Linked DNA regions of Pelodiscus sinensis. The protein of the gene in region 2 interacts with the protein of the main gene of each other region in a biochemical or structural test. Links are inferred from orthologs where the notes say so. Each region holds a gene or a part of one and is shown on either strand. Other genes may lie near its edges.

Region 1 (10,811 bases), on a different chromosome or scaffold from region 2:
CAAATGAATGTCAAGTCACTTCTTTCCCTTTTCTGTGTGCGCGAGTGGGGAAGCATTGCCTCTCAGAGGCATCCGGGGTGGTGGGAGAATTTCCAGGTTACTGGGTGAGGACTCGAGCCAGTTCTGAGTTGGATGGATGGATGGATGAGGAACCCCTAGATATTTAACCTGGTCCTTTCTGCTGCTGACTCCAACTGGCAGAAGGGTTACAAAAGACAGAAACAACTGTCACAGGTGCGGAGAATGAAATGCTGACTAATACAAAGAAAAACACCTTCATAAGTCAATATCAAAATTAAAACGATTAAAAAAATCATATTGCCATGGAAAGATCCCCTAAAGCCGAGTTCAGCATCCTTCAGTCTCTCAAAGGGATAAGGCAGGCAGACTTTATTAAATAAATTAATCTTGCCCATTATGTATCTAACTCTCATTACTAACCAAAAAACATGCTTCTGGAGGTAAAAAATATGAGAAACTGAAGGAAAAGTTTGTGTGCCGTAAGAGGCGGCTCCCAGGGAAGACACCAACATTCTAAAGCCAGCTGTTAAAACCATAATCAACATTCTGAACATTTCCAAAATAGAAAGACAAGATAGAAACCAATTAGTGCAGGCAGAATTCAGCCTCTCTACCTTTGCTGTTCTCATTAATGGAAATCCCCATAATTTTTATATTAGATTGTAGCAGGCTCCTCCCTCTATCACTCTCTTCCCCTGTCTCTGTGAGCAAAAGGGAAGTGAGACTAAGTGTTGCTTAGACTTGGGAAACAGATCAACAGACACTCAACCTCCAGCTGCAACATGGCTTGGTGAATAAAAGTATAATTGTAACTGCTGTTTATTTCTTTGTTGTGAATTGATGCTTGTCTATGTATCATCGTGTATCAGTAAAACACCTTTCCTTAATTTGACTTCCTGCCTTGTTCCCGTGAAACAGGTACAGCATTAGTACAACTCATGGAAGTTAATCACACAACCCCTTGGGAAAGTGCTAGGTATTGATACTCTTTTTTTATTCGGTTTCTCAACTGTGAATCTTTTGCTGTCAACTTCACTGTAGCTAAATTAATTGCTCACTTCTTTTCATCTACTTGTAAAATGGCTTGTAGTCATACCGCTTTCTACTGTGACCCTGTCAGATTTCACACACGAAGCAGCCTCAGGCAAGGTATTTTAGATGTGAGATCTCTAAAGAAAACCCAAATATTTTCAGTATTAAATCAATACCTCAGCAGGGTGGGGAGGGGCATTGTGCTACCTATGGTGCAGTCTGACAGAAGCAATATAAAAGCACAATTGTCACCACTTAAGGTGGGAAAGTCCCACAATATACTTCACAAGAGCAAAACTATTTAGCCCCAGTGTCTTGACCAAATTTCTGCTTGTATGTTTCCATTTTACCTTGCTGATTTCCCCCTGTATTCTCAGTTATATACAGCGTGCTTGACTGCTGACTCACTGTTCAATAGCTACTGGCTTTCACACCATAGCTGAATAGCCATCTGTGGTTAGCAAAATGATGTGCTTAGGTATCTATCCAGATGAGACACTATCTACTCTGTCCTCTCCATGTTCTCCTCCTACCACTTTCATCACTCCTCCAACATGTGCTTTGGAGGATCCTCCTCTTCTGCCTTTCAGGTTTTGGTGGGAGTTCCTCAGGACTCTGTTCTTGGTCTCCTTTCTAACCTGACTTGTGGGTAATCTCATAACCACAAATTCAACAATTTATGGGTCTATGTTTCCTCCAGGCCCATCTCCTGTCTGAATTAAAATTTTGGCCTGTCTCTCTGTTATCACTTTGTAGACATATTACCGTCGCCCCAAATCAACATGGCTAAAACACAGATTTTGTTCTGTCCCCAAACGTGTCCTGTTACCTCCTTTCTCAGTGACAGTAGGCAACATCACCTGTCTCTCAGTTCCATAACCTCAACATCCACTTCCACTCACACCTCTTTCGGACCCCACATCCAGGTTATGTCTAAATCTTTCTGGTTCTTTCTACGTCACATTTCTAAAACAGAGTGTTTCCCTCCCACCCGTCCATCCATCCAGCCAGCCAGCCTCTCATCCTTTTGCATCTTCATTACTTTAAAATCCTTTTCACTAGCTTTGGCAAGTGCAGTCTTGCTCTACTCACATTCACTCAGAGTGCTGTTGCAAAGATGACTTTCCTACATAAACAGGGCAGCCAGATTCCTCTGGTTTCCATCCACATAGGTTTTTTTTCCTATGGGTGTATTACTAAAGTGACACACAGGTAAAGAAAGGGTACATGCAGTAAGGTGCATACTGATTGCACATAACACTCCCTCTGCATCCAATCACAGCGCTGCTACTGTTCAAACAATATCTCCTGCAAATTCTAGGTATGCTGGCACAGTTTGCAAATTTACTCTAGGCCAGCAGATGACAATGGTGATGACAATCTTGCGGCCCATTGAGATGGAGGGTGGCCCACTCACTAGCCTAGGTTGCCCATCACTGACAATGGGATCCTGATTCACCAGTCGGGCTGCTCATGTTTCAAGCGAGAGAAGCAAACCAAAGTCATTAGGAAAAGGCAGCTGAAAACAAAACTAGAGTTTTAGAAACATTGGTGATTGGACTGGAAGGAATATCAAGTTGCTAAGGCCAAGACTCTGCTTTATCAAGCAGGAAAGAGTCTACACTGAACTCTCTATGAACCAAATGTAGGCAAACTTCCCATTGACTTTAGAGAGCTCTGACTGAGTAAAGACATGAAGATTTATATTCACAGGGACATGAAAATCTCTTCTCTTATAACCCTTGTGAAAATCTTATAGTCCAAAGCTTAAGAAGCTGTTTGTTTTAGAGAGACTTATTTTAAAGTCATGGACACTAACAGAGATAGCAATCAAGTTTTTGTGCCACCATATAACAAAATGGATTCTCCTTGTATATTTTATACTGTTTTAAACACCAAATTAATAAGAAATTATATGACATCCATTATAAAATGTTACCCATTTAGATTAAGCTCTTTGGAAGTTCTGACATCAGGAAAGCCTCATTTGGACAGATTTGAATCATGGCTCCTGAATTTATTTTCACTTTCACTTTCCATTTAATCCTTACAATTTTACTTTACAGAAAATATATCTATAAATTGCTATCATATATTCTTTATAAATTGCGTTGGAATTCTATGCGGTACTGTAACCCACACACCTAGCGTGGTTCACTGTCCCATGTAGTGGCACTTAGATCACTTACAACTAGAGATAAGAACAAGGGAATTCTATAGCCTACGCTAAGAATCCTCTGTTAGAAATGTTTCTCTCTTCCATACCAAGGATGAGACTTGTATTTCTCTGTTATCAATTGTTCTGGGCATACGTTTTATGTTTTTTTTTAACAATTATAAATAAAGGTCTAATATTATCATTGGAAATGCTGCTTTCCAGTAAAGGAAGATCAACCCCAGACTGATTCATCATCTTCATAGCCTATATTTTAAAACTGGATAAAGGGAGGGACATTGGGTAACTCCATCCAGGGGCCTAAATCCAGGCCCTCAGGAGGGCATTGTAAGACCAGGCAGGAAGACACAGCTTCTGTCCTGAGTTAACACAACTCCCTGATCCTGCAGACATTTGATGCACATGCTTAGCATCATGCACATGAATAGTCCCAATGACTGCTCCCATGCATAAAGTTAGACATGTGGAAAGTGTTTACTGCTGAGTTTTTACCATCCTTTTATAACACAACTTACATGTTAAAAGCCATTAAAAAAACCTATTTTTCCCCTTTAAAAAAACTCTGTAAACATTAGACAAGCTTTCCCAGAGGATTAAGAACATATCCCAAGCTTTAGCACAACAAAAACTTTTGCACAGATGGAAGGAATTCAAATGTACATCACCAGTGGTTGAACATCATAAGCCACCTAAAATTATTTTGGAGTCTTCTGTCCAATTTCTGGTGGATAAGTGCCCCAAACAAGAAAAACAGTGAGGTGGGGCCTTGCTGCCAAAACCCCATAATGGAGCCAGAGTTATTAAATAACTAGAGCGAACATTAAAACCACCTGTCCAGATAAAGTAAGCTCCCAAAGAGTTGCTGCATACACTAAGACTGGATGAGTTTGCTTGTCCCATACTGGAGCCTTTGCCTTTGATGCCGACCTGGAATTGAACTCCTGGATCCAGCCACCTGGTCACAGAAGAAGGCAAACATGAGGTAGGCGAGTAAAAGAGAAGGGGAAGGCAACAGTGGAGAGGAAGGGGAGGAGGGAAGGCAAAGGAAGAGAGACGAGCAAAAGAGGGAGAAGGAGCATGGGGGAAGGAGTAGGGAGGAGGAGAGAAGGGAGGACAGAGCAGCAGAAGGGGTAGGCGCTGGGAGGGAGAGAAGAGGCAGGACAGGGGAGGCAGAGAGGTGCAGGAGAGAAGGGGAAGGATGGAGAAGGAGGGTAGGGGGAGGGAAGCAAGGGGCAGGACGGAGGGAGACGGCAGGCGGGAGGGAGGGAGAGAAGGGGCAGGACAGAGGAGGGGAGCAGGGGGGGGAGGGAGAGAAGGGGCAGGATGGGGAGGGAGGGAGCAGGCGGGGGAGGGAGGGAGAGAAGGGGCAGGACGGAGGAGGGGAGCAGGGGGAGGGAGGTGGCAGGCGGAGGAGGGAGGGAGAGAAGGGGCAGGACGGAGGAGGGGAGCAGGGGGAGGGAGGCGGCAGGCGGAGGAGGGAGGGAGAGAAGGGGCAGGATGGGGAGGGAGGGAGAGAAGGGGCAGGACGGAGGAGGGGAGCAGGGGGAGGGAGGGGGGGAGGGAGGGGGAGAAGGGGCAGGACGGAGGAGGGGAGCAGGGGGAGGGAGGCGGCAGGCGGAGGAGGGAGGGAGAGAAGGGGCAGGACGGAGGAGGGGAGCAGGGGGAGGGAGGGAGGGAGGGAGGGGGAGAAGGGGCAGGACGGAGGAGGGGAGCAGGGGGAGGGAGGCGGCAGGCGGAGGAGGGAGGGAGAGAAGGGGCAGGACGGAGGAGGGGAGCGGAGGGGGGGGGAGGGAGGGGGAGCAGGGGCGGGACGGAGGAGGCGAGCAGGGGGAGGGAGGGGGAGAAGGGGCGGGACGGAGGAGGGGAGCAGGGGGAGGGAGGCGGCAGGCGGAGGAGGGAGGGAGAGAAGGGGCAGGACGGAGGAGGGGAGCAGAGGGAGGAGGGGAGGGAAGGGGAGCAGGGGCGGGACGGAGGAGGCGAGCAGGGGGAGGGAGGGGGAGCAGGGGCGGGACGGAGGAGGCGAGCAGGGGGAGGGAGGGGGAGAAGGGGCGGGACGGAGGAGGCGAGCAGGGGGAGGGAGGGGGAGAAGGGGCAGGACGGAGGAGGGGAGCAGGGGGAGGGAGGGGGAGCAGGGGCAGGATGGAGGGAGGCGGCAGGCGGGGGAGGGAGGGAGAGAAGGGGCAGGACGGAGGGAGGCGGCAGGCGGGGGGGAGGGAGGCGGCAGGCGGGGGGGGAGGGAGAGAAGGGGCACGACGGAGGGAGGCGGCAGGCGGGGGGGAGGGAGGCGGCAGGCGGGGGGGGAGGGAGAGAAGGGGCAGGACGGAGGGAGGCGGCAGGCGGGGGGGGGGAGGGAGAGAAGGGGCAGGACGGAGGGAGGCGGCAGGCGGGGGGGGGAGGGAGAGAAGGGGCAGGACGGAGGGAGGCGGCAGGCGGGGGGGGGGGGAGGGAGAGAAGGGGCAGGACGGAGGAGGGGAGCGGGGGGAGGGAGGCGGCAGGCGGGGGAGGGAGGGAGGAGAGAAGGGGCAGGACGGAGGAGGCGGCAGGCGGGGGGGGGAGGGAGAGAAGGGGCAGGACGGAGGGAGGCGGCAGGACGGAGGAGGGGGAGGGAGGCGGCAGGGCAGGACGGAGGGAGGAGAGAAGGGAGGCGACCCGGGCGAAGGAGCGAGCGGCCCGCAGGGCGGCTCTGTCCCGCGCTCTGCCGGCACAGGGGCTCCGGAGCCGGCGGGCAGGTGAGCGCCAGGCGGGGCGCAGGGCTCGGTGGCTGCCGGGGGCGGAGCGCGGGGCGGGGCGGGCAGGCGGGCCGGGCTGGGACTCGCTCGGGGAGCGCTCGGCCTGGGAGCTGCGGCAGCTCCGCGCCGTGTGCGGGGCTCGGCGCCCGGGAGAGGTGAGTGGCGGCTCCGCGGGGGGCGCGCCGGGCGGGTACCTGCGGCGGCCGGGCTGGGGATCCCCGCGACGCGCCCAGTTCCTGCCCCGCCCGCCGGCCGAAGGAGGAAGCGGCACCGGCGCTGCCGCCCCCGCCCGGCGCTGGAGTCCCGGGGCGAGCTGGGGGCCCCTGGCCGGGGTGCGCTGCGCTCGGGCTGCCTGCGCCTGGGCGCCCTCTCCAGCGGCCGCTTCACTCCCCCTGCCAGGGCGGCGGGGTGTCTGGGCTGGGCGCCGGCGTGTGAGCCGCGAGGGGAGCCCTGCCTGTCCCGCGAGCCGAGCCCGCCCCCTGGGGTGAGCCGAGGTTGCCTCTGGCATCCTTTGCCGGAGAGAGGGCTCCCCTCGGCTTCCTTGTTCTGCCCGCCTCCATATTTTGCGCCGTGACTCTGGGCAGGGGGAGGCTCCGCGACCCGAGGAGCGAGACCCGCGAGTTTTCTTGATTTCTGCCAAGTTGGCTCGGCACTTTCGTTTGCTGATTGCGGAGCCTCTTTTTCTGCCTGGCTGAACTTGCCTCTGACCCTGTTGTCTGGAGCCTTCGCTGGGGACGTGCTGAACTTTTGAGTGGGAAAGTTTGTAAATCAGCAAGCGATATTTATGAAATCGTTGACAGAATAGTTATGGGTCAGGTCAGTAAACATTGAAACAGGAAAAACTTAAACAAGTGTGTAGACGCCTATGTCAGGAAGGATGCTATCAATTGACTTTGATTCTTATCTGCTTCGTTTTAACTACCCAATCTTCAGATACTTATTCCCTCTAGCTCCTTGTCTCTCCTCCCCTCTGTCCCCCCCCCCCCCCCCACCTCCTCCTTTCCTATTTATTTTGGGTCTGAACATCCTAAACTCAAACCTCCGGTCATCTGAATAAATGGGCTGTGCCCACAAAAGCTCATGATGCCATCTACATGTTTTGTCAGTCTATAAAGTGCTACCAGACAAAGATAGCTTCCCCAATTATCACCCCCTAATATCGTTATCTCATAGACACTGACCTCCCCCCCTCACCTCACCTCTGTTCTAAAATCCGATTTGTCAGTTTTATATGTGTTCACTTTTTTGATTGTATCCCTTTGGTATATATGGTTGTGCCAATTTTCTTCCACATTTTGATCTGAGGAAGTGGGTCTGGCCCACGAAAGCTCATCACTTAATAAACCATCTTGTTAGTCTTTAAAGTGCCGCATAGTCTTTTTTTTTTTTTTTTTTTTTTTTGATTCATCAAGACCAGACTAACACGGCTACATCTCTCTTACTACCAGACCATTTGTTATTGAAATGTGTCATTATTGTTGCTGAAGTATAGTCAGCATGACAGTTGATGCCAATCAAATGGTCCTTGGAACAAATGATGACCGTAAGTCATGCAGCTTTTAGTTCCTTAGGGACTTTCAGTGATGTTTTTGTTTCAGGTACCAGGCACTAAGAGGTAAGGAGGCTGACTCTCCTCCCTGGTAGTAGTTGTATCCCTGTGTGTATGATGCCTCATTTCCTGAATGAGACTTTTTCTTCTTGTTGTGGACTTTGTCCTTAGCATATCTTGCAGTTTCACTGTAATAATAGTGCTCATTACCTCCAGGAAGTATAGGTAACCTGGACAGGGAAACTTTGCGTTCAGGGAGGAGTCATAATTTACTTTATTCAGTAGCATTCCTCAAGTTGTATGAGCTCATCTATTTATCCATAGGTCAGCTACAAGTTTGATTATAAAATAGTCTTAGTTTCTGTTGATTATGAGACACTCACACCTTCACCCACCCATAAGCAAATGGGAGCAAAGCAGAGTTTTTAATGAGCTAAGCAAATTGTAACTGTATGACATACAAGGTAATTCTTCTTGTCTTCAGACCTTATTCAAATATCTGGCACATGTGTAACCCACTGTGTGTGTGTGCATGCATGCGTTGGTTGGTTGGTTTCACAGGTCCCTTTGTTTTGATCCATGGAGAATATGAGTTATTACAGTGTCTGACTGTAGTGCCTTGGCCCTTTCATTCAAACTCATGGTGTGAGCTTTTGAGGTCGTTGGTTCAAATCCTTTCACATCAGCCAAGAGGATATGGTCACACTTGCACGTAAATCTTCAGTAGGGTACAGTTAATCTTTTCAGCCCAGAAACACATATAATCAGTTTTTGTTTCTCAAGAAACACTATTGGATATGCAGCACATTCGAATTGGAAGTGTAAGTGCTCAGCATGTCCAGCTATAAAATTCCTCACCATGTGATCAAAAATGGATCTTTTAAAAGCAGTTAGAAAACAGAGTAAACTTTAAGGAATGTACCTGTTTGATCTCCCCTTTTGATATACATGCTATATGTGTACACACATAATCACTACTATATGTGTGAGTTCAGGAAATGTCAGGATTCCCCAATGAGAATACTATATTGGAGTTTGAGCCATTACCATTCTTGAAATATAGCATTTTGTATTCATAGCTGAATTTACAGGTTGTGAAGCGTCTCTCCTAAATTACCTAGCTAGCCCAAAGAAAGTAATATTGGTTTGCACCTAGGAACTTCAAGGCCCCAAACTTCATCTAGTCTAATATACTCTCAGTTGATAGTGGGCAGTACCTGGGGAAATTATAAGAATCCCACTGAAGACAGAGGGGAGATTATCTGCAACCCATGTTGTCTCACTTTGTTAATCTCAAATAACTAAGAGTTTGGTTTAATCTGAAACATGAGGTTTAAAGTAGGGATGTAATAGTGTAGTCCGGTGTTTCCCAATTTTATTTGGCCACGGAACCCTCTTTTAAAAGAAACGGCCAGGAAAAACTGGTTGACCAAAAAAAAGGGGGTGGGGCGACTGTCAAGCAAAAAAAGAACCAAAACACCGGCTTTCCCCTAACACCACTGTGCCTGGCGGCCCCTTGAAAGTGGCAGACCCGGGAGACCGCCTGGCTCGCCCACTCCTAAGACTCTCTCGGTGGGGTGGGGGGCAGGAGGGAGGAAGTGATCGGGTTCTCACGGAACCCTTACTTTCACTTTGTGGAACCACAGGGTTCTGCAGAGCACTATTTGGGAAACACTGGTGTAGTCAATTAACAAATAAGCAAAAGTGTATAAATTAATGCTATAGAATACACGCATTCTGCCTCCTCCCCCATCACTACATTTTTTCGCAGGCTGGCTCATTTCTTCCATGCACCAGGTCCAGGATCTACCCCTGCTGCGGCTCTACATTTAAAGTGCATTAACAGCCAGACGGGCAGGTAACCCAGCTCAGTTCTGGCTCGCGCCAGGTCCAGGAGCTCAGTGCCTCCCATGGACAGGGGCTGCTACCACCCCACTCTGCTGCTTCTGAGGCAGCAGCACAAGGCGACATGCAACTAGTCTGCGAGGGAAGCTGTTTTTTAAACCGGCTCCTTTCGCAGAGCAGCTCCCACCTGACACCCTGCGCTGCTGCCTCTGCCTCGGGAGTGGGGCACAGCTGGCTGCTGGCTCTAAGCCTGGTGACTATAGAATAGTCGAGAAACCAATACGAATTGATGAGGTTACTCAACTATTCAATTAACCGATATTTAACATCCCTGTCTCTAACGAAACACTGTTAACATTTAATTTTCATAACTCTGGATATTCTAGTTATTCAGATAAATGTTCAATTTGTTTTGAAATTTAGTAGATTCTTGGCCCCCTGTGCACATTTAGGGCATGTCTACACTGCAGCCAGGGGTGAGATTTCCAGTTTGTGGGCATGCACATGCTTGCTTTAGTCTAGCTAACCTGCTAAGATAGCAGTGCAGGCATGGGCCTTTCAAGTCTGCACAATCTCCCCGCAGCTACGTATTCAGGTTGCTAGTCCTCACTGAAGGCTGCGCTGCTGCATCTTCGCTGCTATTTTAGTGAGTTGACTAGATTAAAGCTACTGTGGATATGCCTTCATGACAATTAATGCAAATCACACCTCCATTTGCAAGGAAGGCATAACCCAACTGCTTCTCTCACTCTGCATGCTAACCTACTAGTGAATGCATTCATATGTAAGGTCTGTTGTATGCAGCATCAAAAGAAACAACCAAAGAAAACAATGCCACTGAGTTTTAAAGTGACAGCAGCAACATTGTAGTTTTCATGAAATGTTCCTTAACTGCCCATCAGCTACTTCAGTAATTAAAAAATATGTTCAGCATTTCCTGTTTAGAGTAGTTCCTGAAAATATCTGTTACAAAAATGTATAATGAACTAGTATCTAATGTTCTGCCTGATACATTATCAGTTACCCGAAGCCACAATGGAAAGTCTACAAACTTTGGGACAGAGTTAAACACTGCAGATGGCAACACACTAACTTCAGAACATTATCTTCTTTTTCTGTTTCTTCTTCTTACCTCGAATCATATGTTCAAAGTAGGTCTGTTGATAAATTGCAGTTAACTCACATGATTAACTCAAAAATTTAATCACACTTAAAAGGTAATTGTGATTAATTGCACTGTTAAACAGTAGAATATCAATCGAAAGGTATTAAATATTTTGGCTGTTTTCTATATTTTCAAATGCATTGGTTTATATTAAAGCACAGTACAGTTGTCACTTTATATAATTTTTATTACAAATATCTGCACTGTAAAAATGATAATCAAAAGAAATTGTATTTTTCAATTTACTTCATACAAGTACTGTAGCGCAGTCTCTTTCTCATCTAAGTGTGACTT
Region 2 (10,094 bases):
GCTAAATAATGCAACAACAAACTCCAATATACATTACAGCACTTCGCTCTCACCAGTCTTGATTTTCCAGCCATTGTGCCAGATACTGTCTGATTTCCATAGGAAAGCTGTCATCATACAGCTGATGTACTTGTTCCAAGAATTTGGAATCAAGCTGCTGCAACTGGTACCACTGAGTCATTCTGTGGAATCAAGATGCATAGAATTTAATAAAATCTTAGTCACATCTAAATCTTAGTCACACCTAAATCCCAACATAAGATATTTAAGAAGTAAGCTGAAAATTTCCCATCTAATCACTTTTGATAGAAAATGATTATTTAAAAAAACTAAATTTTGGGGAGAGGGAACTATTTGCATAGAAAATCTTCAGGTTTTTGTCAAAAAAGAGAGAAATGTTTGGTTCTCAAGTTTCCTGAAATTCCCAAAAATGTCAAGAAAATTGGCAATGTAACTAACAATGGGAATAACCATCCTTTCCCAGTCATCTCTGATTAAGGGCTTGATGCAAAGTAGAATGTGTGTTAGCAGCCCTAATGAGTTTTGCTAAATTGAATAGTAGCCTACCTTGGCCATGAAGACAAGTCCTAAAATAAAGAAACAGAAAGTGAAGACCTACACTGTTGGAGAGCAGACAGTAGGGGGAGATTATTTTAAATTGCATTTGGATTGCTCAGATGCTGGCTAATATTTTCAAAGGCACATATGTCCATTTTCAGAAATGTCCAAATCTGAAAAGGACTGAGGTGTCTTGGTAGATAACTAACCAAATATGACCTTGCAGGGCAATGCATTGCAGCAAATGTGACCCTGTGATGTACAAGGGGCATCTTGAAAAGCAGTACGTAAGTGGTACTGCCTCTGCCCAGGAAATCAGTGAAACTATTGCAGAACTGTGTCCAGTTTCTATGTCCAGAATTTTTAAAAAGTTAAATTGAAAAAGGTTCAGAAAGAGCTGTAAGAATGATCTGAGATCTGGAAAGCCTGTGTCTGTCAGAAACTAAAGAAGCTCAATCTGTTTATCTTATCCAAGATCACCTCTGTAAGTACAGGTTGAACTTCTCTGGTCCAGAATTCACAGCCCCGCTGGGCGTTGGCAGCATAGCGCAGCCCATCTGGGAACTGGCAGCACATTGCAGCACAGTAAGCAGCTAGCCTGAGTGCCCCTGGTCAGGCAAACTCCCTTGCCTGGGACCATGCAAGTCCCGAGTATGCTGGACCAGGGAGGTCCAACCTATATCTATGTGGGGGAGAGATTTCTCATATTAGAAGGCTCTTCAATTTAGCAAAGACATAACTGGGTCAGGAAGCTGAAGCAAGACAAATTCAGGCTAGAAATAAGGTTTTTAACATTGAGAGCAAACTGAGCAAATTTTTAGCATTGAGAACAGTTAATCACTAGAAGACGTTACCTACAGATGTAGCGGATCCATAATTTAGTCTTTCAAAGAGAAGTCTGGGGGATACGTCAACACAACTAAAATTTGAAGAAAACTGAATTTTTGTTTTAAGTTTTACAGCACTTTATTATTTTTGTACTTTTTACACCCAAAAATGTAATCGCCCTCTTGGCTACGATTAACTCGTTTAAATAAATGTGTTCCAATGGTAGAAAAAAAATTTGTATGTCTGAAAACTAGGTACTGGGGATTTTTTTTTTTTTTTTTTTTTTTTAAAGGGGTACTTTATAAAAATGGTTAAGAAACACTGCTCTAGCTCAGTGATTCTTAATAGAATCACAGAACTGAAAGAGACTTTGAGAGGTCTTCTAATCTAGCCTGCACAGCAGGACTAAATATTTAAGTTTTCCCTGACAGATGTTTGTTTAACATGCTTTGTGTAATAACAGTAAAAGCACCCTGACCAGCCTAAATTAATTCTGTGTTTTAATATGTACTGGGAAAAAAAAAACACAGGAAAGACACTGCTGTACTTCAACCAGAAATTATGGAGGTCATGGCAAGAATTACTTAGCAAAACTCTGAAGTTTATACTGCAAGATCAGATGATTACAATGGTCCCGTCTGACTTGGATTTTAAAGTTACTTATTAGTTTCCTAAGTCCCTCTGAAAGTGATTTCTCTAAGGGCACATCTACACTGGGAAGTTATTTTGAAATAACTCCTGAAATAACTATTTCAAAACAGCACTATTCCACTTCACAAGTGGAAGTTATTATTTCAAAATAATAACTTCCACTTATTTTGAAATAAGGGGCTTGGTAACGTGGATGCTCGTCTTTTTATTTAAAAATACGGAGAGCTATTTCGAAATAATTCCCTAGTGGGCTACGTCTACATTGCCGGCTTTGTGGGCAGTGCCTATGCAAATGAAGCACAGATTAGCATTTTGCCACACTTCATTTGCATAATGTATTCAAACTGGTTTTGCACAAGAGGTTTTTGCGCAAAAACAATAAGTGTGGATGGAATTTTTTTGTGCAAAACCCCCATTTTGCACAATATCCTTATGCCTTGCACCCACTGGGGTAGGTAAGAATGCCTCACATAAGGACCTTGTGCAAAACGGGTTTTGCGCAAAAGAAGAGTCCACACTGCTTGTTTTTAAGCAAAAACCTTGTGTAAAAATGGCTTGAATAAATGATGCAAACGAAGCATGGCAAAATGCTAATCCACGCTTCATTTGCATAGGCTTTGCAGGCAGTGTAGACAAAGCCGAGATGTAAGCGACTAGTCGAATAGTTGACTACCTGATAAGCCTGGGCTTCTCGGGTAGTTGAGTCACTAGTTTACTAGTTGCTTCTCCCCCCCTTGTTACTTCTATCAGAGGCAGCGGGGAAGAAGGGAGCAGGAGCTGAGGAGAGCAGGCTTAAAAGCCATCGTCTACTTGATTAGCTCATTAAACGCAATTTAACATCCTTAGTGCAGACATGCCTTAACTCTGCACGTTCACTTTGAAAAGATGTGCACGTATCTTACATCTTTCCATTACATTTTTCATGCTGCCTTCTTAATCCTATGTTCCTTCATCATTCTGTCCTAAAATACCGTGACCAACTTGTACCTCTCTGTGTGTATTTATTTAGGAAAGAGTTACAATAGGAATGAACCTTGAGTCTCAGAGGAATCAGGTGCTGCAGTTTCGTAATCCTATATATCTAGGGAATTCAATTAAAGAGGTGGGAAGGTCAAGTCCTATAAAGCAGTGTCTTTTTGGGGGGGGTTGTTCTGTGCTTCCCTCTGAGGCAGTCAGCATAGTTCCTGTAGGATCTGTGATGCCATTTACACGTCACTTTCCATGTCTAAAATCTCCCTACCTATTTTTAGAAACACGAGCTAAGACATCAGCACTCACTGGGGTAGGCAAGGATGCCATACAGGTCAGCTCTTGTGTGGCTCCTGCTCCCAACACCTGGCTGGGCAAGGGGGTGACTCTGCATTTCTATGTCCTAGGATCAGGGTTTTTCCACTGACTGGAGGAGGGGTTTGGGTCTTAGGACCACTGGCTCGGTGACTGTGAATCCAGCCACGTGGAATCTTTGCGAAGCCAGTGCAGCGAGGCTGTAGTTACAGGAGCGCAGCAGCCAGCAGCCATCACCAGGACTTGGCCAGAGCCTGCCTATTCGTGGGGTGTCTGTGGGGAATTAGAAGCGTGTCAATGGCAACAAGGGAACAACATTTCCAGCTGATGCGTCAACTTCCCAGCGGGAGTGTGTCCCGCTGGGACCGGCGAGCTCAGAGGTGGGGGGAAGGGGGGCTCATCCGGCTTCACTCAGCTGCTGCTGCCCCGCTCGCTGGGGCTCACGCCGCCTCACCGCTACCGCGTGGCCCGTGGCTGTGCGGGAGGCGGGCCCCGGCGGAAGGAAGGGCCCGGGGCAGCGCTGCCCGGCGCTCAGGGCCCCAGCAGGGCGGGGACGCGGCGCCGGGTCACTCACCCGACTGGCGAGAGGAGGCTCCGGGCCGCCGTCACCGCTTCGCTGCTGCGCCGCCGCCGGCAAACCGAAAGCGAGCGAGGACACGGCAACAGAACGCCCGTTGCGCGGCCAGCCCCCGGGCCAATCCCGAGCCGCGGGGCGGGCCTGCCGCAGCCACAGCCAATCCGCGCTGCGGCACCGGCTGTTCCTGAAAGCGCGCTACCCTCCCGCTGCTCTGCGCTGCCTCCCAGAGCCCCCCCCACAGAGTCCCAACCACAGCCCTCCCCCCTCCCCCAGCCCCCCACAGCCCTCCCCCCCTCAGACACCCCGCACCACAGCCCTCTCCCCTCAGACACCCCGCACCACAGCCCTCCCCCCCTCCCCCAGCCCCCTGACCCCACAGCCCTCCCCCCTTCCCCCAGCCCCCCACAGCCCTCCCCCCTCCCTCAGACACCCCGCACCACAGCCCTCCCCCCCTCCCCCAGCCCCCTGACCCCACAGCCCTCCCCCCTTCCCCCAGCCCCCCACAGCCCTCCCCCCTCCCTCAGACACCCCGCACCACAGCCCTCCCCCCCTCCCCCAGCCCCCTGACCCCACAGCCCTCCCCCCTTCCCCCAGCCCCCCACAGCCCTCCCCCCTCCCTCAGACACCCCGCACCACAGCCCTCCCCCCCTCCCCCAGCCCCCTGACCCCACAGCCCTCCCCCCTTCCCCCAGCCCCCCACAGCCCTCCCCCCTCCCTCAGACACCCCGCACCACAGCCCTCCCCCCCTCCCCCAGCCCCCTGACCCCACAGCCCTCCCCCCTTCCCCCAGCCCCCCACAGCCCTCCCCCCTCCCTCAGACACCCCGCACCACAGCCCTCCCCCCCTCCCCCAGCCCCCTGACCCCACAGCCCTCCCCCCTTCCCCCAGCCCCCCACAGCCCTCCCCCCCTCCCCCAGCCCCCTGACCCCACAGCCCTCCCCCCCTCCCCCAGCCCCCTGACCCCACAGCCCTCCCCCCTCCCCCAGACACCCCGCACCACAGCCCTCCCCCCTCCCCCAGACACCCCGCACCACAGCCCTCCCCCCCTCCCCCAGCCCCCTGACCCCACAGCCCTCCCCCCTTCCCCCAGCCCCCCACAGCCCTCCCCCCCTCCCCCAGCCCCCTGACCCCACAGCCCTCCCCCCTCCCCCAGACACCCCGCACCACAGCCCTCCCCCCTCACCCCACAGCCCTCCCCCCTCCCCCAGACACCCCGCACCACAGCCCTCCCCCCTCACCCCACAGCCCTCCCCCCTCCCCCAGACACCCCGCACCACAGCCCTCCCCCCTCACCCCACAGCCCTCCCCCCTCCCCCAGACACCCCGCACCACAGCCCTCCCCCCTCACCCCACAGCCCTCCCCCCTCCCCCAGACACCCCGCACCACAGCCCTCCCCCCTCACCCCACAGCCCTCCCCCCTCCCCCAGACACCCCGCACCACAGCCCTCCCCCCCGACACCCCGCACCACAGCCCTCCCCCTCCCCCAGACACCCCGCACCACAGCCCTCCCCCCTCACCCCACAGCCCTCCCCCCTCCCCCAGACACCCCGCACCACAGCCCTCCCCCCTCACCCCACAGCCCTCCCCCCTCCCCCAGACACCCCGCACCACAGCCCTCCCCCCTCACCCCACAGCCCTCCCCCCTCCCCCAGACACCCCGCACCACAGCCCTCCCCCCTCACCCCACAGCCCTCCCCCCTCCCCCAGACACCCCGCACCACAGCCCTCCCCCCTCACCCCACAGCCCTCCCCCCTCCCCCAGACACCCCGCACCACAGCCCTCCCCCCTCACCCCACAGCCCTCCCCCCTCCCCCAGACACCCCGCACCACAGCCCTCTCCCCTCACCCCACAGCCCTCCCCCCTCCCCCAGACACCCCGCACCACAGCCCTCCCCCCTCACCCCACAGCCCTCCCCCCTCCCCCAGACACCCCGCACCACAGCCCTCCCCCCCTCACCCCACAGCCCTCCCCCCCCAGACACCCCGCACCACAGCCCTCCCCCCTCACCCCACAGCCCTCCCCCAGCCTCCCACAGCCCTCCCCCCCTCACCCCACAGCCCTCCCCCCTCCCCCAGACACCCCGCACCACAGCCCTCCCCCCTCACCCCACAGCCCTCCCCCCTCCCCCAGACACCCCGCACCACAGCCCTCCCCCCCTCACCCCACAGCCCTCCCCCCCCAGACACCCCGCACCACAGCCCTCACCCCTCACCCCACAGCCCTCCCCCCTCCCCCAGCCCCCCACAGCTCTCCCCCCTCCCTCAGACACCCCGCACCACAGAGTCCCAACCACAGCCCTCCCCCCTCCCCCAGACACCCCGCACCACAGCCCTCCCCCCTCACCCCACAGCCCTCCCCCCCGACACCCCGCACCACAGCCCTCCCCCCCCAGACACCCCGCACCACAGCCCTCCCCCCCTCACCCCACAGCCCTCCCCCAGCCTCCCACAGCCCTCCCCCCCTCACCCCACAGCCCTCCCCCCTCCCCCAGCCCCCCACAGCCCTCCCCCCTCCCACAGCCCTCCTCCCAGACACCCCGCACCACAGCCCTCCCCCCTCCCCCAGACTCCCCGCACCACAGCCCTCACCCCCTCCCCCAGCCCCCCACAGCCCTCCCCCCTCCCTCAGACACCCCGCACCACAGCCCTCCCCCCTCCCTCAGACACCCCGCACCACAGCCCTCACCCCCTCCCCCAGCCCCCCACAGCCCTCCCCCTCCCTCAGACACCCCGCACCACAGCCCTCCCCCCTCCCTCAGACACCCCACACCACAGCCCTCACCCCCTCCCCCAGCCCCCCACAGCCCTCACCCCTCCTTCAGACACCCCTGTACCACAGCCCTCACCCCCTCCCCCAGCCCTCCACAGCCCTCCCCTCTCCCTCAGACACCCCGCACCACAGCCCTCCCCCTCCCTCAGACACCCCGCACCACAGCCCTCACCCTCCCTCAGACACCCCGCACCACAGCCCTCCCCCCTCACCCCACAGCCCTCCCCCCTCCCCCAGACACCCCGCACCACAGCCCTCCCCCCTCACCCCACAGCCCTCCCCCCTCCCCCAGACACCCCGCACCACAGCCCTCCCCCCTCACCCCACAGCCCTCCCCCCTCCCCCAGACACCCCGCACCACAGCCCTCCCCCCCTCACCCCACAGCCCTCCCCCCCCAGACACCCCGCACCACAGCCCTCCCCCCTCACCCCACAGCCCTCCCCCAGCCTCCCACAGCCCTCCCCCCCTCACCCCACAGCCCTCCCCCCTCCCCCAGCCCCCCACAGCTCTCCCCCCTCCCTCAGACACCCCGCACCACAGAGTCCCAACCACAGCCCTCCCCCCTCCCCCAGACACCCCGCACCACAGCCCTCCCCCCCTCACCCCACAGCCCTCCCCCCCGACACCCCGCACCACAGCCCTCCCCCCCCAGACACCCCGCACCACAGCCCTCCCCCCCTCACCCCACAGCCCTCCCCCAGCCTCCCACAGCCCTCCCCCCCTCACCCCACAGCCCTCCCCCCTCCCCCAGCCTCCCACAGCCCTCCTCCCAGACACCCCGCACCACAGCCCTCCCCCCTCCCCCAGACTCCCCGCACCACAGCCCTCACCCCCTCCCCCAGCCCCCCACAGCCCTCCCCCCTCCCTCAGACACCCCGCACCACAGCCCTCCCCCCTCCCTCAGACACCCCGCACCACAGCCCTCACCCCCTCCCCCAGCCCCCCACAGCCCTCCCCCTCCCTCAGACACCCCGCACCACAGCCCTCCCCCCTCCCTCAGACACCCCACACCACAGCCCTCACCCCCTCCCCCAGCCCCCCACAGCCCTCACCCCTCCTTCAGACACCCCTGTACCACAGCCCTCACCCCCTCCCCCAGCCCTCCACAGCCCTCCCCTCTCCCTCAGACACCCCGCACCACAGCCCTCCCCCCTCCCTCAGACACCCCGCACCACAGCCCTCACCCCCTCCCCCAGCCCCCCACAGCCCTCACCCCTCCTTCAGACACCCCTGTACCACAGCCCTCACCCCCTCCCCCAGCCCTCCACAGCCCTCCCCTCTCCCTCAGACACCCCGCACCACAGCCCTCCCCCTCCCTCAGACACCCCGCACCACAGCCCTCCCCCCCTCACCCCACAGCCCTCCCCCCCCAGACACCCCGCACCACAGCCCTCCCCCCCTCACCCCACAGCCCTCCCCCAGCCTCCCACAGCCCTCCCCCCCCGACACCCCGCACCACAGCCCTCCCCCCCTCACCCCACAGCCCTCCCCCCTCCCCCAGCCCCCCACAGCTCTCCCCCCTCCCTCAGACACCCCGCACCACAGAGTCCCAACCACAGCCCTCCCCCCTCCCCCAGCCCCCCACAGCCCTCCCCCCTCCCACAGCCCTCCTCCCAGACACCCCGCACCACAGCCCTCCCCCCTCCCCCAGACACCCCGCACCACAGCCCTCCCCCCTCCCCCAGACACCCCGCACCACAGCCCTCACCCCCTCCCCTAGCCCCCCACAGCCCTCCCCCCTCCCTCAGACACCCCGCACCACAGCCCTCCCCCCTCCCTCAGACACCCCGCACCACAGCCCTCACCCCCTCCCCCAGCCCCCCACAGCCCTCCCCCTCCCTCAGACACCCCGCACCACAGCCCTCCCCCCTCCCTCAGACACCCCACACCACAGCCCTCACCCCCTCCCCCAGCCCCCCACAGCCCTCACCCCTCCTTCAGACACCCCTGCACCACAGCCCTCACCCCCTCCCCCAGCCCCCCACAGCCCTCCCCTCTCCCTCAGACACCCCGCACCACAGCCCTCCCCCTCCCTCAGACACCCCGCACCACAGCCCTCACCCCCTCCCCCAGCCCCCCACAGCCCTCCCCCCTCCCTCAGACACCCCGCACCACAGCCCTCCCCCTCCCTCAGACACCCCTGCACCACAGCCCTCACCCCCTCCCCCAGCCCCCCACAGCCCTCCCCCCTCCCTCAGACACCCCGCACCACAGCCCTCACCCCTCCCTCAGACACCCCTGCACCACAGCCCTCACCCCCTCCCCCAGCCCCCCACAGCCCTCCCCCCTCCCTCAGACACCTCGCACCACAGCCCTCACCCCTTCACCCCACAGCCCTCACCCCTCCCTCAGACAACCCGCACCACAGCCCTCCCCCCCTCCCCTAGCCCCCCACAGCCCTCCCCCCTCCCTCAGACACCCCTGCACCACAGCCCTCCCCCCCTCACCCCACAGCCCTCCCCCCATCCCTCAGACACCCCTGCACCACAGCCCTCACCCCTTCACCCCACAGCCCTCATCCCCTCCCAGAGCTCCCTCACCCCACAGCCCTCACCCCCCTCCCTCAGACACCCCGCACCACAGCCCTCCCCCAGCCCCCCACAGCCCTCCCCCCTCCCTCAGACACCCCGCACCACAGCCCTCACCCCTTCACCCCACAGCCCTCACCCCTCCCTCAGACACCCCTGCACCACAGCCCTCCCCCTTTCCCCCAGCCCCCCACAGCCCTCACCCCCATCCCTCAGACACCCCTGCACCACAGCCCTCACCCCCTCACCCCACAGCCCTCACCCCTATCCCTCAGACACCCCTGCACCACAGCCCTCACCCCTTCACCCCACAGCCCTCACCCCTTCCCCCAGCCCCCCACAACTCCCCTCACCCCCTCCCTCAGACACCCCTGCACCACAGCCCTCACCCCACAGCCCTCACCCCCTCCCAGAGCCCCCTCACCCCACAGCCCTCACCCCCTCCCCCAGCCCCCCAGAACCCCTCTCACCACAGAGTCCCAACCACAGCCCTCATCCGCATCCCTCAGACACCCCTGCACCACAGCCCTCACCCCCTCACCCCACAGCCCTCACCCCTATCCCTCGGACACCCCTGCACCACAGCCCTCACCCCTTCACCCCACAGCCCTCACCCCTTCCCCAGCCCTCCACAACCCCCCTCACCCCCTCCCTCAGACACCCCTGCACCACAGCCCTCACCCCTCACCCCGCAGCCCTCACCCCCTCCCAGAGCCCCCTCACCCCACAGCCCTCATCCCCTCCCCCAGCCCCCCAGAACCCCTCTCACCACAGAGTCCCAACCACAGCCCTCATCCCCATCCCTCAGACACCCCTGCACCACAGCCCTCACCTCCTCCCCCAGCCCCCTCACCCCACAGACCTCACCCCCTCCCAGAGCCCCCCCACAGCCCC

What was found.
Region 1: of the proteins of STAT1 (region 2) and PRKCD, one has a biochemical effect on the other in vitro, tested with the Homo sapiens proteins (2 studies listed by BioGRID). The link is inferred for Pelodiscus sinensis from reciprocal best matches to the Homo sapiens genes STAT1 and PRKCD.

The regions. Positions count from the first base shown.
Region 1 is NC_134721.1:40,004,964-40,015,774, reverse strand, and holds the start of PRKCD (protein kinase C delta type), read left to right. Parts: upstream 1-5,807; 5' UTR 5,808-5,958; intron 5,959-5,982; exon of another isoform or gene 5,983-6,113; intron 6,114-10,811.
Region 2 is NC_134717.1:67,122,962-67,133,055, forward strand, and holds the start of STAT1 (signal transducer and activator of transcription 1-alpha/beta), read right to left. Parts: upstream 4,105-10,094; 5' UTR 3,896-4,104; intron 3,105-3,895; coding exon of another isoform or gene 3,065-3,104; intron 183-3,064; 5' UTR 182-182; coding exon 54-181; intron 1-53. Other genes in the region: uncharacterized protein LOC142830272, read left to right, coding at 3,065-3,104, 9,808-10,094. UniProt on the Homo sapiens protein: Signal transducer and transcription activator that mediates cellular responses to interferons (IFNs), cytokine KITLG/SCF and other cytokines and other growth factors.